Saccharomyces cerevisiae S288C: one gene and its partners. The gene in region 3 interacts genetically with the main gene of each other region. Each region holds a gene or a part of one and is shown on either strand. Other genes may lie near its edges.

What was found.
Region 1: of YTA12 (region 3) and COA2, a mutation in one rescues a mutant of the other (synthetic rescue), as found in Saccharomyces cerevisiae (2 studies listed by BioGRID).
Region 2: mutations in YTA12 (region 3) and CDC15 are lethal when combined (synthetic lethality), as found in Saccharomyces cerevisiae (one study listed by BioGRID).

Annotation. Positions count from the first base shown.
Region 1 is NC_001148.4:187,799-190,613, reverse strand, and holds COA2 (Coa2p), read left to right. Parts: upstream 1-2,100; coding exon 2,101-2,307; downstream 2,308-2,815. Other genes in the region: GUP2 (putative O-acyltransferase), read right to left, coding at 1-1,460. UniProt on the Saccharomyces cerevisiae protein: Required for efficient assembly of cytochrome c oxidase in the mitochondrial inner membrane. Seems to be involved in the SHY1-mediated step of cytochrome c oxidase maturation.
Region 2 is NC_001133.9:171,609-176,821, reverse strand, and holds CDC15 (serine/threonine protein kinase CDC15), read left to right. Parts: upstream 1-1,686; coding exon 1,687-4,611; downstream 4,612-5,213. Other genes in the region: serine/threonine protein kinase KIN3, read left to right, coding at 5,119-5,213. UniProt on the Saccharomyces cerevisiae protein: Protein kinase of the mitotic exit network (MEN) essential for late nuclear division in the mitotic cycle. Promotes mitotic exit by phosphorylating DBF2 and directly switching on DBF2 kinase activity.
Region 3 is NC_001145.3:445,057-449,905, reverse strand, and holds YTA12 (m-AAA protease subunit YTA12), read left to right. Parts: upstream 1-1,819; coding exon 1,820-4,297; downstream 4,298-4,849. Other genes in the region: YMR090W (uncharacterized protein), read right to left, coding at 1-661; VBA1 (Vba1p), read left to right, coding at 4,804-4,849.

The DNA of each region.
Region 1 (2,815 bases), on a different chromosome or scaffold from region 3:
GCAAAGCTCGTTAATATTTTGTTATTGGACCCGCCAAATGGAACATAGATGTAACGGATTACCCACTTGTTAAAACTTGTATGCCAGGCTCTCCAGAATCCCACTGTACTATAATTATTATCCACACATCGTAGCATATTTTCAGGTGCATCAATACCATCGACCATGGCCCACAGCCGAAAGAGCCTCCATGGGATCAAAAGTTTTAAATACATAATGTTCAAGTTGAACAGCGCGATCATAGCCTGTTGCAAGGGTGTATCATTGTTCCATGCCTTGGTCCTTGCTATTGCACCCACATAGATATAATGTAGGATAATTTCCATCAAAAGCAAACTCGAAAATACTTTGAGGGCATAGAAGCCTATGTTTTTTTTCGTTAGCGAAGGAAGCTTATTTTCTGATTGATAAAGGTAGTCATTAAAAGTGATAATTGGGCCCACTAAAAACAATGGCGCGTAAGTAATATAAGCGATAAAATTGATAAAGTTGTAATCCTGGATGTGATGTTCTGCTACCAGTCGTTCCTTTTCCTCCAGAACATTCTTACCTGACTCATAAATGGTTTGTAGAGTAGAACCAGATAAACTTTTTCTGAATTCAGGTCGTCTATCATCGTAATCTATCGAAGGTTGGCGGCTCAATTGTTCATGCCATCTTTCCAAAAAATCCATGGAGTAACTTAACAAACGCAATAATGTAAAATTGAAAAAAAAATCCCATCGAGGAACGATACCCTTATACCATTGATCCATGGGACTTAGGATGATAGCAATATTATTAAAGGGGAGATTTTTCATTTTTTGATTGATGAATAGTGTAAAGATACCATAGGACCAAATCGCAAAAGCGGCTATCAAACGCTTTCTCTTTAGCGAATGTGCCAAAGTGAAGAAAATAAAAGCATGCGTAAAGAGCTTAACAGAATTGATCCCGTACATGAAACAGACAAAAACTAATCCACACGCAAAATCGAATTTTGTTTTCGGAATTTTACTAAATTTAACAAAAACCTTTTTTAATATAATTTGTAGTAATATTAAGATGGCCAACAAAAAAAAATTGGATCTAAAAAACCTATACTGAGGATCGCTGTTATCCACTTTGCGGCCCAGAATCCAACCATGGGCTAGCAGTCCGCTGAATTTATAGTAGTTTGGATTAGACTCGGAGCTCGTAGCCAATGCCGCCTTTATCATGAAAGGAACTACTACGGTGAACGCCAAATAATATAGTCTAAATTCCCATGTATTCCATAGCGGAGGAGATGGGCTATTAGAGCTGAGCACAGGGTTACGGGTAACAGTAACGGCACTAGAAGATGAACCATTCTCTTCTTTAGATGAATTGATAAATATCCTTTGTCGCCTTTTGAATTCAATGTCTGGCTTTATTCGTGAATCAAGTGCCTGCACGGAAAAGAAATGTACGATGCAACTCCAGATTCTTAACATCGACATCTGACTTGTAGCGATGACGTCAATTATTTTTGAGCCCTATAATAAGGTAGTTGAGAAGACAAATTTGAAGCACCCAAAAACCCTCAAAACAGTACCTACCTCAAAGCTAGCTTCTCTTTCTTCTTCTATTTGACTTCATTTTTTCCATATTCACCATTGGTACCTTCCATAAACAACTATAACGCAGTACAAATGAAAAAAGAAGAAAAAAAAAAGAAAAAAAAAGAGACCTAAACGCGCCAAGATTACAGGTAAACGAGTAGAACTTTGATCTATGTGCCTGAAAACCCCTCGGGCACAGGGTTCATAACGAAAAAAAAAAAATCGTAAGTAATGGTAACCATAGTAACCGATGCATGGGTTTTAAAAGTCACGTGCTTAAGTCCATTAAGACCGGAAACCTCTACACCAGTTCTCCTTCTGCAAGGGTTTTCTTTTTTTATTTTTTTTGATGGGATGGCTCTCTTTCCCCGTGTTTGTACTTTTGATATATATAGGATATTCATCAAAACAGCGTTTCGAACTCAGCGCTTGCACGATAACATAAGCACCTCGAGACACATTAGGAAAATTTAACATCCTATTTATTTATTGAATTTACAGGCACGGAAGGCCAATTAGTTTAATTCAGACACATATCATGAGAGCAGTCACTAGAAACAAAATAGTCAATAACCTATACTTTTCTACATTTCTCATTGCATTCGCATCAGTGGCCATCGGTTCTGTGCTGCCATGTCCAGCACATTCAGTGGATTCTGATTCACCAGCTGTACAGCAACACAAGCTTCAGCTTGCTCATGAGCAGGAGTTAAAGAGGAAGGATGCTTTAAGTAAAAAGATTTAAACAGGTACGGGCTATCTGGAACTTTTGATAAGTTGTATTCTATCTCTTTTATTTCCTCTTTTTATTTATTTTCGAGTGCCGTAATCTTCGCTACTTCAAGTTTCATAATCAATCGACTTTCTGTATGGGTAAGCATCTGGTGTGATGCAGTTTCATTATGACACCACAAATACAAAAGAGACTATTTAAATATGTATATAGATCACATTCCAAAAAAGAAAACCATTAATAATATCACTCTTTAATATTCCAAATTGAAACGAAAAAGCGCTATTCTTATTCGCTTCCTAACTACCGCCCTAGTTCGTGCTTGCATTTTTTTGTAGAACGATAAATTATGGTATCCCACGTGATTGAGTGTAACCCTGAATTGTTGAAGAGAAAATGAAGCGGAAGAAGCAAAGGACAAAAAACAATTCATTTGATTTTGCCACTTCTAAATGAAGGTCTAATAAAAGCTATCTTGAGCATCTTTATTAGATTCTGCACAGCAACAAGCGATTTTCTT
Region 2 (5,213 bases), on a different chromosome or scaffold from region 3:
TTGCAGAAGCTGTTTTCAACTACGGTGATTTCACCACCATGTTGACTGGTATTCCCGCCGACCAAGTTACCAGAGTTATCACTGGTGTTCCATGGTACTCCAGCAGATTAAAGCCAGCTATCTCTAGTGCTCTATCCGTAGACGGTATCTACACTATCGCAAACTAGAGTCCCTGCTTTACGAATGAAACCTGTACAGGTATGAGAGGTTACGAAAAAAAATGATAAATGAAAAAAAAAAAGCTTAATAATATGAAATTAATAGTATGAATAGTTAGGCGCATGTATATAAATATAAATTTTTGTATATATGTATTATTAATATTATAAATTTCTTATTATTAAACCATCCTTTACGGAAATAACGGCCTATTCCCTTAGTATTTTGTTGTAGCTCGTGGAGTTATCCATTTTAAATGGATCTTGGGATAATTTTTACTGCTTCCCTCGTACTGGGAGCTTAATACACGTTCGTCTTGTTATCATCATAAATATGTGTTTATTATTCTCGCCTGGAAGGAAATCTTCAGTATAAATTCGTGAGGAATTTAGAATATAAATAATTCAATCATAAGAAAACATAAAAAGATCAAGTAAATAATAGAGGCATACAAGCATAACCAAATAGTACTATAAACAATTTTAAATTACACGTAAGAGATAATGGGTTATAAAGTATGTTTTTTTAAGCCATTACTGCAGCGTTCTTTATCATTATTTGAGTTCGAATGTGGAAAATGACGACTGAAATTTATAAGATAAAATATTCGAACTATATAGAAGAAAATTTTACACTCTTCGCCTTTGAAAAACATGAGTGAATGTCCTTGATCGTTATTTGGCCTTCTGAAACTGTCCATATGGGTTATTTTGAGTTCCTTATAAAGGCTTGGCGCATTATCGAATATCGTTTAGTAAAATTTATGATCCACTTGCATCGGCATGGGCATGAGCAGTACTCATTACAAAATCCAAATCAGTGATATTTACAGTAGTCACAAATTACTGTTATTTTTTATCCATTTTTGTAGTTTTTGTACAAATATACTATTGGAAATAGAAAAAAATTCCTTTGAAAGGATCAATTTTAAGTGGTAAATAGAATGAACAAGCCCAGGACAATGGATTCAGAAGGGGCCTTATCGTGTCTCATAGATATTTTTCTTCTCGGTAACCTTTCAGTAATTTCTTGAGCACGAACTCGAAGCGTTTCATCAGGTATTTCATAACTATGCATGATTTTTGATGGCTTTGCATCATATTAGAAGAAAATTTTGCAGCTGAAGAGCTCTAATACGGCTTTTCTGTGGTCGTAAAGACAAGGCTGTTCATAACGCTTGTTGCCATTATGTAGCTTTGCACATCTCATATCGGTAAGGATGTCGTTTGTCATCTAGCGGCGAACTACTGTAATGTAATAATGTCCTCTGGCGTCGTGTATGGAAAAGAGGCATAATCAAAATTGGGCCTATCAACTCATTAGCACTCTATGCTATACTGTAGTGCTCTGTGCGGACTTTGCTGTGCCATTATAATCCTTTCCACCTTGCGATGGTCTTTCCGCTTTTCTTGCTGTTATTTTTGTATACGGGAGATCTGCCTCACAAAAGGTATATCTTCTACTTGGAGGCTCGAGGAAGGACAAAACACACATAAGCACTACCCATTTTCCTGGTAAGACTATACCATGAACAGTATGGCCGATACCGATAGAGTCAACTTGACTCCCATCCAGAGGGCATCTGAGAAATCCGTGCAATACCACTTGAAGCAGGTCATTGGGAGGGGTTCTTACGGGGTAGTTTACAAAGCCATTAATAAACATACTGACCAAGTCGTGGCAATAAAGGAGGTCGTGTACGAAAATGATGAGGAACTTAATGACATTATGGCAGAAATTAGCTTGTTAAAAAATTTAAACCATAACAATATTGTTAAATACCACGGCTTCATACGAAAAAGCTATGAATTGTATATCCTCCTCGAATACTGCGCTAATGGTTCTTTGAGGAGGCTCATTTCAAGGAGCTCTACCGGATTAAGTGAAAATGAATCGAAAACCTATGTGACACAGACACTATTGGGGCTGAAATATTTACACGGTGAAGGAGTCATCCACAGGGACATCAAGGCGGCTAACATCCTGCTGAGTGCTGATAACACTGTCAAACTTGCTGATTTTGGCGTTTCCACTATTGTGAACTCCAGCGCCTTAACGCTAGCGGGCACACTCAATTGGATGGCTCCAGAGATCCTGGGCAACAGGGGAGCTTCTACGCTCAGCGACATTTGGTCTCTAGGTGCCACTGTAGTTGAAATGCTCACAAAGAATCCACCCTACCACAATTTGACAGACGCCAATATCTACTACGCTGTTGAAAATGATACCTACTACCCACCTAGCTCTTTCTCTGAGCCACTAAAGGATTTCTTATCTAAATGCTTTGTGAAAAACATGTACAAGAGGCCGACAGCCGACCAGTTACTCAAGCATGTGTGGATCAACTCTACCGAAAATGTGAAGGTCGACAAGCTCAACAAGTTCAAGGAGGACTTTACCGACGCTGATTATCATTGGGATGCCGATTTTCAAGAAGAGAAACTAAATATATCACCCTCTAAATTCAGTCTTGCAGCGGCTCCCGCTGCCTGGGCAGAAAACAATCAAGAACTAGATTTAATGCCCCCCACTGAAAGTCAATTGCTGAGCCAATTGAAGAGTTCATCTAAGCCTTTGACGGACTTGCATGTGCTTTTCAGTGTTTGCTCCCTCGAGAACATCGCTGATACAATTATCGAGTGTCTGTCGCGCACAACTGTTGATAAACGATTAATAACTGCATTTGGCTCCATTTTTGTTTACGATACCCAGCATAACCACTCTAGGTTGCGACTGAAATTCATCGCTATGGGAGGAATTCCACTGATCATTAAATTCGAACATTTAGCCAAAGAGTTCGTCATCGACTACCCTCAGACTTTAATTGAATGTGGAATAATGTATCCTCCGAATTTTGCATCGCTGAAAACCCCAAAGTATATTTTAGAACTCGTCTATAGGTTCTACGATTTAACATCCACAGCCTTCTGGTGTCGCTGGTGTTTCAAACACCTCGATATATCACTCCTTCTGAATAACATCCATGAAAGAAGAGCCCAATCCATACTACTAAAGCTATCGTCATATGCACCATGGTCTTTTGAGAAAATTTTGCCCTCTTTAATTGACTCTAAGCTAAAAAAGAAAATTTTAATCAGTCCTCAAATTACTTACGTAGTCTTCAAATCAATAAACTATATGATAACCACGAATGACGATAAAATACACAAGTCCGCTATTCCTTCTTCTTCCTCTCTACCGTTATCCTCCTCACCCACGAGGAACTCACCAGTGAATTCGGTACAGTCTCCATCAAGGTCCCCTGTTCATTCTTTGATGGCAACGCGTCCCTCTTCTCCAATGCGACACAAGAGCATTTCAAACTTTCCCCATCTGACCATATCTTCAAAATCAAGACTACTAATTGAATTACCGGAGGGTTTCTTTACCTGGCTAACATCTTTTTTTGTTGACATGGCCCAAATCAAAGATTTATCTGTTTTAAAGTACTTCACCAAGCTTTGTTACCTTACAGTACATATAAACAGCACTTTTTTAAATGATCTGCTTGACAACGATGCTTTTTTTGCTTTTATCCGGAATATTGATACCATCATTCCCTTTATCGACGACGCAAAGACAGCAGCTTTCATTTGGAAACAAATCACTGCTATATGCGTTGAAATGAGTTTGGATATGGACCAAATGAGTGCTTCTTTATTTTCTACAGCTATGAATTTCATCAGAAAAAAGAATAACACCTCCATAAGTGGACTGGAGATCATACTGAACTGCTTGCATTTTACGTTACGCAATGTAAATGATGATGTGGCTCCTACAGTGGGCTCATCAGAGTCTCATAGTGTTTTCCTCATAAAGGTCAACAATGACGCTGCTATTGAATTACCGATTGATCAATTAGTTGACCTGTTTTATGCATTGAATGACGATGACGTTAACCTCAGTAAACTAATTAGCATTTTCACGAAGATATGCTCATTGCCCGGTTTTGAAAACCTTACAATTAATATCATATTTCACCCGAACTTTTATGAAAAGATTGTTTCTTTCTTTGATACCTATTTCAACAGTTTACTTATTCAAATCGATCTATTGAAATTCATAAAGCTAATATTCTCAAAATCGTTATTGAAGCTATATGACTACACAGGACAGCCGGATCCTATAAAGCAAACCGAACCAAATCGTCGTAATAAGGCCACTGTTTTCAAACTTCGTGCCATTTTAGTACAAATAACGGAGTTTTTAAACAACAACTGGAACAAGGATGTCCCAAAAAGGAATTCAAATCAAGTTGGGGGGGACTCAGTTTTGATCTGTCAGCTATGTGAGGATATCCGTTCATTATCAAAAAAAGGAAGCCTGCAAAAAGTTTCAAGCGTCACTGCAGCAATTGGTAGTTCTCCAACAAAAGATGAGCGTAGTAATTTGCGATCCTCCAAAGATAAAAGTGACGGCTTTTCCGTCCCCATTACAACATTTCAAACATAATGTAGGAATTGCATGTGCATACATACATATATAGAGAAATAATACAGCATTACATTAACACTATATATAGAATTGTGAACCTTCCAATACTGAAAACGCATCTGTTTGGAAAAGAGATCAGAAAAGTTTTTGAATTTAAAGAGGCCAGTAATGATAAAAAAGCATATACATATATATGCTTTTTTTCTTTTCTTTTTTTTTTCAATTGGGGATTAAATGTATGAACGACTCAAAGTGCATTTTGTTAAATGTTTCTAGCTATAGATCAATAAATCTGAAATACGATATCTGACATGATTGCAGTGGCACAGTCTTCCGATAGGTTACAGCCAAGTTTTTTTTTTAAGGTTTCTGAATTTTTTCATTACGTTTCCTAATTAGGTTAAACGTAAATAAAAGCGACTTTTCAAAAGAATATCAAATCATATAACATGAAAAGAGCAAGATTCACAATACTAATTTCAATGAGAGTGCTATTTGATAATTGAATCAATTCTCTGTGTGAGTATGCATAGACGACAGTTTTTCCAAGAATACCGTAGTCCTCAGCAGCAGCAGGGACACCCACCAAGGTCAGAATACCAAGTTCTCGAAGAAATTGG
Region 3 (4,849 bases):
CCATTGGCTCGTTGCCATTTACCAACGAAATGGTTTTTTTCACTGTTGCATTTGGATGTAGCAAGCTTTCCACAATAAAAGAAGCTACATCCTCCCTGTTAATGGAGTAGTTAACAGAAGCCTTCTCTTCTAATTTGTCAAGGGGTTGCAAAAGACCGGTACCTTTATTTAGTTCCAACGATCCAGGCTGTAAAATAGTGTAATCCAAATTAGAGTTTCTAACCTCACGATCAGCAGATCTCTTTGCAATATAGTATTCACGCAAACCCTTAATGTTATACCAAAAATCTCTATCCTCCGCCTTGAGCGCTGAAACAACAACGAACCTTTTGATACCAGCCTTTTCGCATGCTTCAACAACTTTGATACAGCCATCCAGATCAACCGTGAAAATTCTTTCCATTCCTTTACCACCCGCACCGGCGCTAAAGACCACGGCATCATAAGCCTTAATAGCGTCTGTGATCTCACTAACGGACGCGTTTTCTATATCTGTCAAACTAGCATCAACACCTACTTCATTCTTGAAATAATTGACTTGATCCTGTGTTCTAACAATCGCTAATGGTGTTGAGAAACTATCGTTGGCCTTCAATTGGTTTATCAATAAACGTCCAACTTTACCACTGGCACCGACAACCGCAACTTTCATAGGAGACATGGCTGTTAAGTCAATAATATATGAATACCGATGATATAACTTCAATGAATTTTTATTTGGAGGGAAAGTATCCTATTATGAGCGTCACGATGGGACTTTAAATATATATCCCTACTTCGAGTGTACCCTTACGTAATACTTGCAGCCCCTTGCTGTTGACAGCGCGATACAATTTTCGTACTAAACAATCACAGAGGTAACAGCAAAGTTTGGAAAGTACTTTTGTTGGAAAGTTATTACGGCCACTAACATTGTCTCGTCGTATTATTAAAAGCTATAACGTCGTATTTCTTTGCTCGCTTGTGTTTTGTGATACAGGAAACACACACCAACAGGTTCACCGAGGGCTGTTGTCTGTCTTTGTACTTTAACTCAAAGAACTTCTGTTTCACGATTTGTATTAATAGTTCTTGCAGGCTACTAGGCTGAATACGTTAAAATGGTTAGCAACGAATATAACCAGAAATACTTCGGGTACAATTCTGATACGTATATTTGTAGATATGTCTCGCTTGATGTTGCCAACTTTGTCAAAAATGGTAACGTATGGGCACACGGAATGTGCTAATCCTCGACTTTGCTCTTTCGTAAACCAATTTGATGCAAGTGCAGCGTGGTCTTTTGAAAGTGCATTATCTCATTGGGCGATGCGAAAACTCTGCCTACAGAAGTTCGCCGTTAGATAATTCTGATTGTAGAAAACCTACCAAAGAGAATAAACTAAAGTGTCATCTGCTAATTTATGATCTTATCGTCTGAGTGATGATGTATGTTTCTCTTTGTACGGTTCGTCTTGTGCTCATGTACGTAACATCCTCCATATGTGTGAATTATTTTGTCCGGCGTCTTGTTTGAATATCCCATCCGGACGTATTTCTTTATAGGATAACGCATGCACATATCGGTTCGTTCAATAAGAAAGTCCCTTCTGGTATTATTCGGTGTCCTGTAAGATCTATATACTAATCACCAAGCTATCTGGTGTCACATTGTGAATACATTTGTCTTTTGGTCCATTTTTCCCCATCATTTTCTCGTGAAAACGATCTCTAACTTTTGCCACTATAGTTTTAAAGGAAAGATTTTGAGCTGCCAACGAATACAATATAGCACACTCAAGAGTCTTGGCAAGCAACTTTAAAGTTAGAAAGAGTACTAATGTTGCTACTTTCTTGGTCAAGAATTGCTACTAAGGTAGTTAGAAGGCCCGTTCGCTTCCGGTCCTATTACGGCTTGACCCATATCAAGAGTTTACATACTCAATATCGGCTACTCAATAGGCTGCAAGAGAATAAGAGCGGTAACAAGAACGAGGACAATAACGAAGACGCTAAACTTAACAAAGAAATTCCCACAGACGAAGAGGTTGAAGCAATAAGAAAACAAGTAGAAAAATATATCGAACAAACTAAAAATAATACTATACCGGCTAACTGGAAAGAACAGAAACGCAAAATTGATGAAAGTATTAGGCGTTTAGAAGATGCTGTATTGAAACAAGAATCTAACAGAATTCAAGAAGAAAGAAAGGAAAAAGAGGAGGAAAATGGTCCTTCAAAAGCCAAGTCAAACAGAACAAAAGAGCAGGGCTACTTTGAAGGTAACAATAGCAGAAATATTCCACCGCCACCACCACCTCCTCCCCCAAAACCACCTCTAAATGATCCTAGTAATCCTGTATCGAAAAATGTTAACTTATTCCAGATAGGACTAACTTTTTTCCTCCTTTCGTTTTTATTGGATCTCCTCAACAGTTTGGAAGAGCAAAGTGAGATAACGTGGCAGGATTTTAGAGAGAAACTATTGGCAAAAGGTTATGTTGCGAAGTTGATTGTTGTCAACAAGTCCATGGTGAAAGTGATGTTAAATGACAACGGAAAAAACCAAGCCGACAATTACGGTCGCAACTTCTATTATTTCACAATTGGTTCAATTGATAGCTTCGAACACAAACTTCAGAAAGCACAGGACGAACTGGACATTGATAAGGATTTCAGAATACCTGTACTATATGTTCAAGAAGGCAATTGGGCTAAAGCTATGTTCCAAATTTTGCCAACTGTTTTAATGATTGCAGGTATTATTTGGTTGACAAGAAGATCGGCACAAGCAGCGGGCGGTAGCCGTGGAGGCATATTTGGTCTGAGTCGTTCTAAGGCTAAAAAATTTAACACTGAAACAGACGTTAAGATCAAGTTCAAGGACGTTGCCGGATGCGATGAGGCTAAGGAAGAAATTATGGAGTTTGTTAGCTTCTTGAAAGAACCTTCTCGTTATGAAAAAATGGGAGCTAAAATTCCTAGAGGTGCGATTCTATCTGGTCCACCAGGTACCGGTAAAACTTTGCTTGCAAAGGCAACAGCAGGTGAAGCCGGTGTTCCGTTTTATTTTGTTTCTGGTTCAGAATTTGTAGAAATGTTTGTTGGTGTTGGTGCAGCAAGAGTAAGAGATTTGTTCAAAACTGCAAGAGAAAATGCACCCTCAATTGTGTTTATTGACGAAATTGATGCTATAGGAAAAGCAAGACAAAAGGGTAATTTTTCAGGTGCCAATGATGAGAGAGAGAACACGCTAAATCAAATGTTAGTAGAAATGGATGGTTTCACTCCAGCTGACCACGTTGTTGTTTTAGCTGGTACCAATAGACCCGATATTCTCGATAAAGCATTATTAAGGCCTGGTAGATTTGACAGGCATATCAATATCGACAAGCCCGAACTTGAGGGTAGAAAAGCCATTTTTGCTGTTCATTTACATCATTTGAAACTTGCCGGGGAAATTTTTGATTTGAAAAATAGATTAGCGGCTTTGACGCCAGGCTTTTCTGGTGCTGATATTGCCAACGTTTGTAACGAGGCCGCCTTGATTGCTGCTAGAAGTGATGAAGATGCAGTAAAATTGAATCATTTTGAACAAGCTATCGAAAGAGTCATCGGTGGAGTGGAACGCAAATCCAAGCTACTCTCTCCCGAAGAGAAGAAAGTAGTGGCTTACCACGAGGCTGGTCATGCTGTATGTGGATGGTACTTAAAATACGCAGATCCTCTTCTGAAAGTCAGTATTATTCCACGTGGCCAGGGCGCCCTTGGTTATGCACAGTATTTGCCAGGTGATATCTTCTTACTAACTGAACAGCAACTTAAGGACAGAATGACCATGTCTCTGGGTGGAAGAGTTTCTGAAGAATTACATTTCCCATCAGTTACAAGTGGCGCATCTGATGACTTCAAAAAAGTTACTAGCATGGCCACGGCAATGGTCACAGAATTAGGCATGAGTGATAAAATTGGCTGGGTCAATTACCAGAAGAGAGATGATAGCGATTTGACAAAACCATTTTCGGACGAGACAGGTGACATTATTGATTCCGAAGTATACAGAATCGTCCAAGAATGCCATGACAGATGTACAAAGCTGCTTAAAGAAAAAGCAGAAGATGTAGAGAAGATTGCTCAAGTACTACTGAAAAAAGAAGTTTTGACAAGAGAAGATATGATTGATTTACTTGGTAAGCGCCCTTTCCCAGAAAGGAATGATGCTTTTGATAAGTACTTGAACGATTACGAAACGGAAAAAATCAGGAAGGAAGAAGAAAAAAACGAAAAACGTAATGAGCCTAAGCCATCTACAAACTGATTGATATTTCACAATACAAAGAAATGGAGGAAGACTGTTCTACATATCTTGCTTATTTTATTGAAAGCCAGACATCTTTCTTTTTCGGTAGAACACTGTCACGTATTTACCATATAATCTAATCTGAAAACATGTAAATATATATACGTGTATAAATGCACCTATATCTATATATGATCAAAGCGCTTCTGTGAGGCTGTCATTGGTTAATACACGCGATCTTTTTTTTATCGCTGATTCCACGGCTTAGCCTATCTTATCTTCAGTATTCGCATGATACACTTTTTCACTGCGTCGTTTTGTTGGATGATATCTGTCCGACAATAAACGTAGGTCATCTTAAGGGCCGGTGATAGAGAAGAGCATGCGGTTCCACTTTAGGCCAACCCACATTCCCAAAATATAAGAATACAGCAGCGATTTTTTTCTATCGAATTATTTTGTTTTTTGTCTCCTCTTTGTTCTTCACTAAGCTCAGAGCCCTAGTTGTTGAGGGAACAAGAAGAATGCAAACACTAGACGAGACTTCAAATCTACTCCCTCCACCTGAGG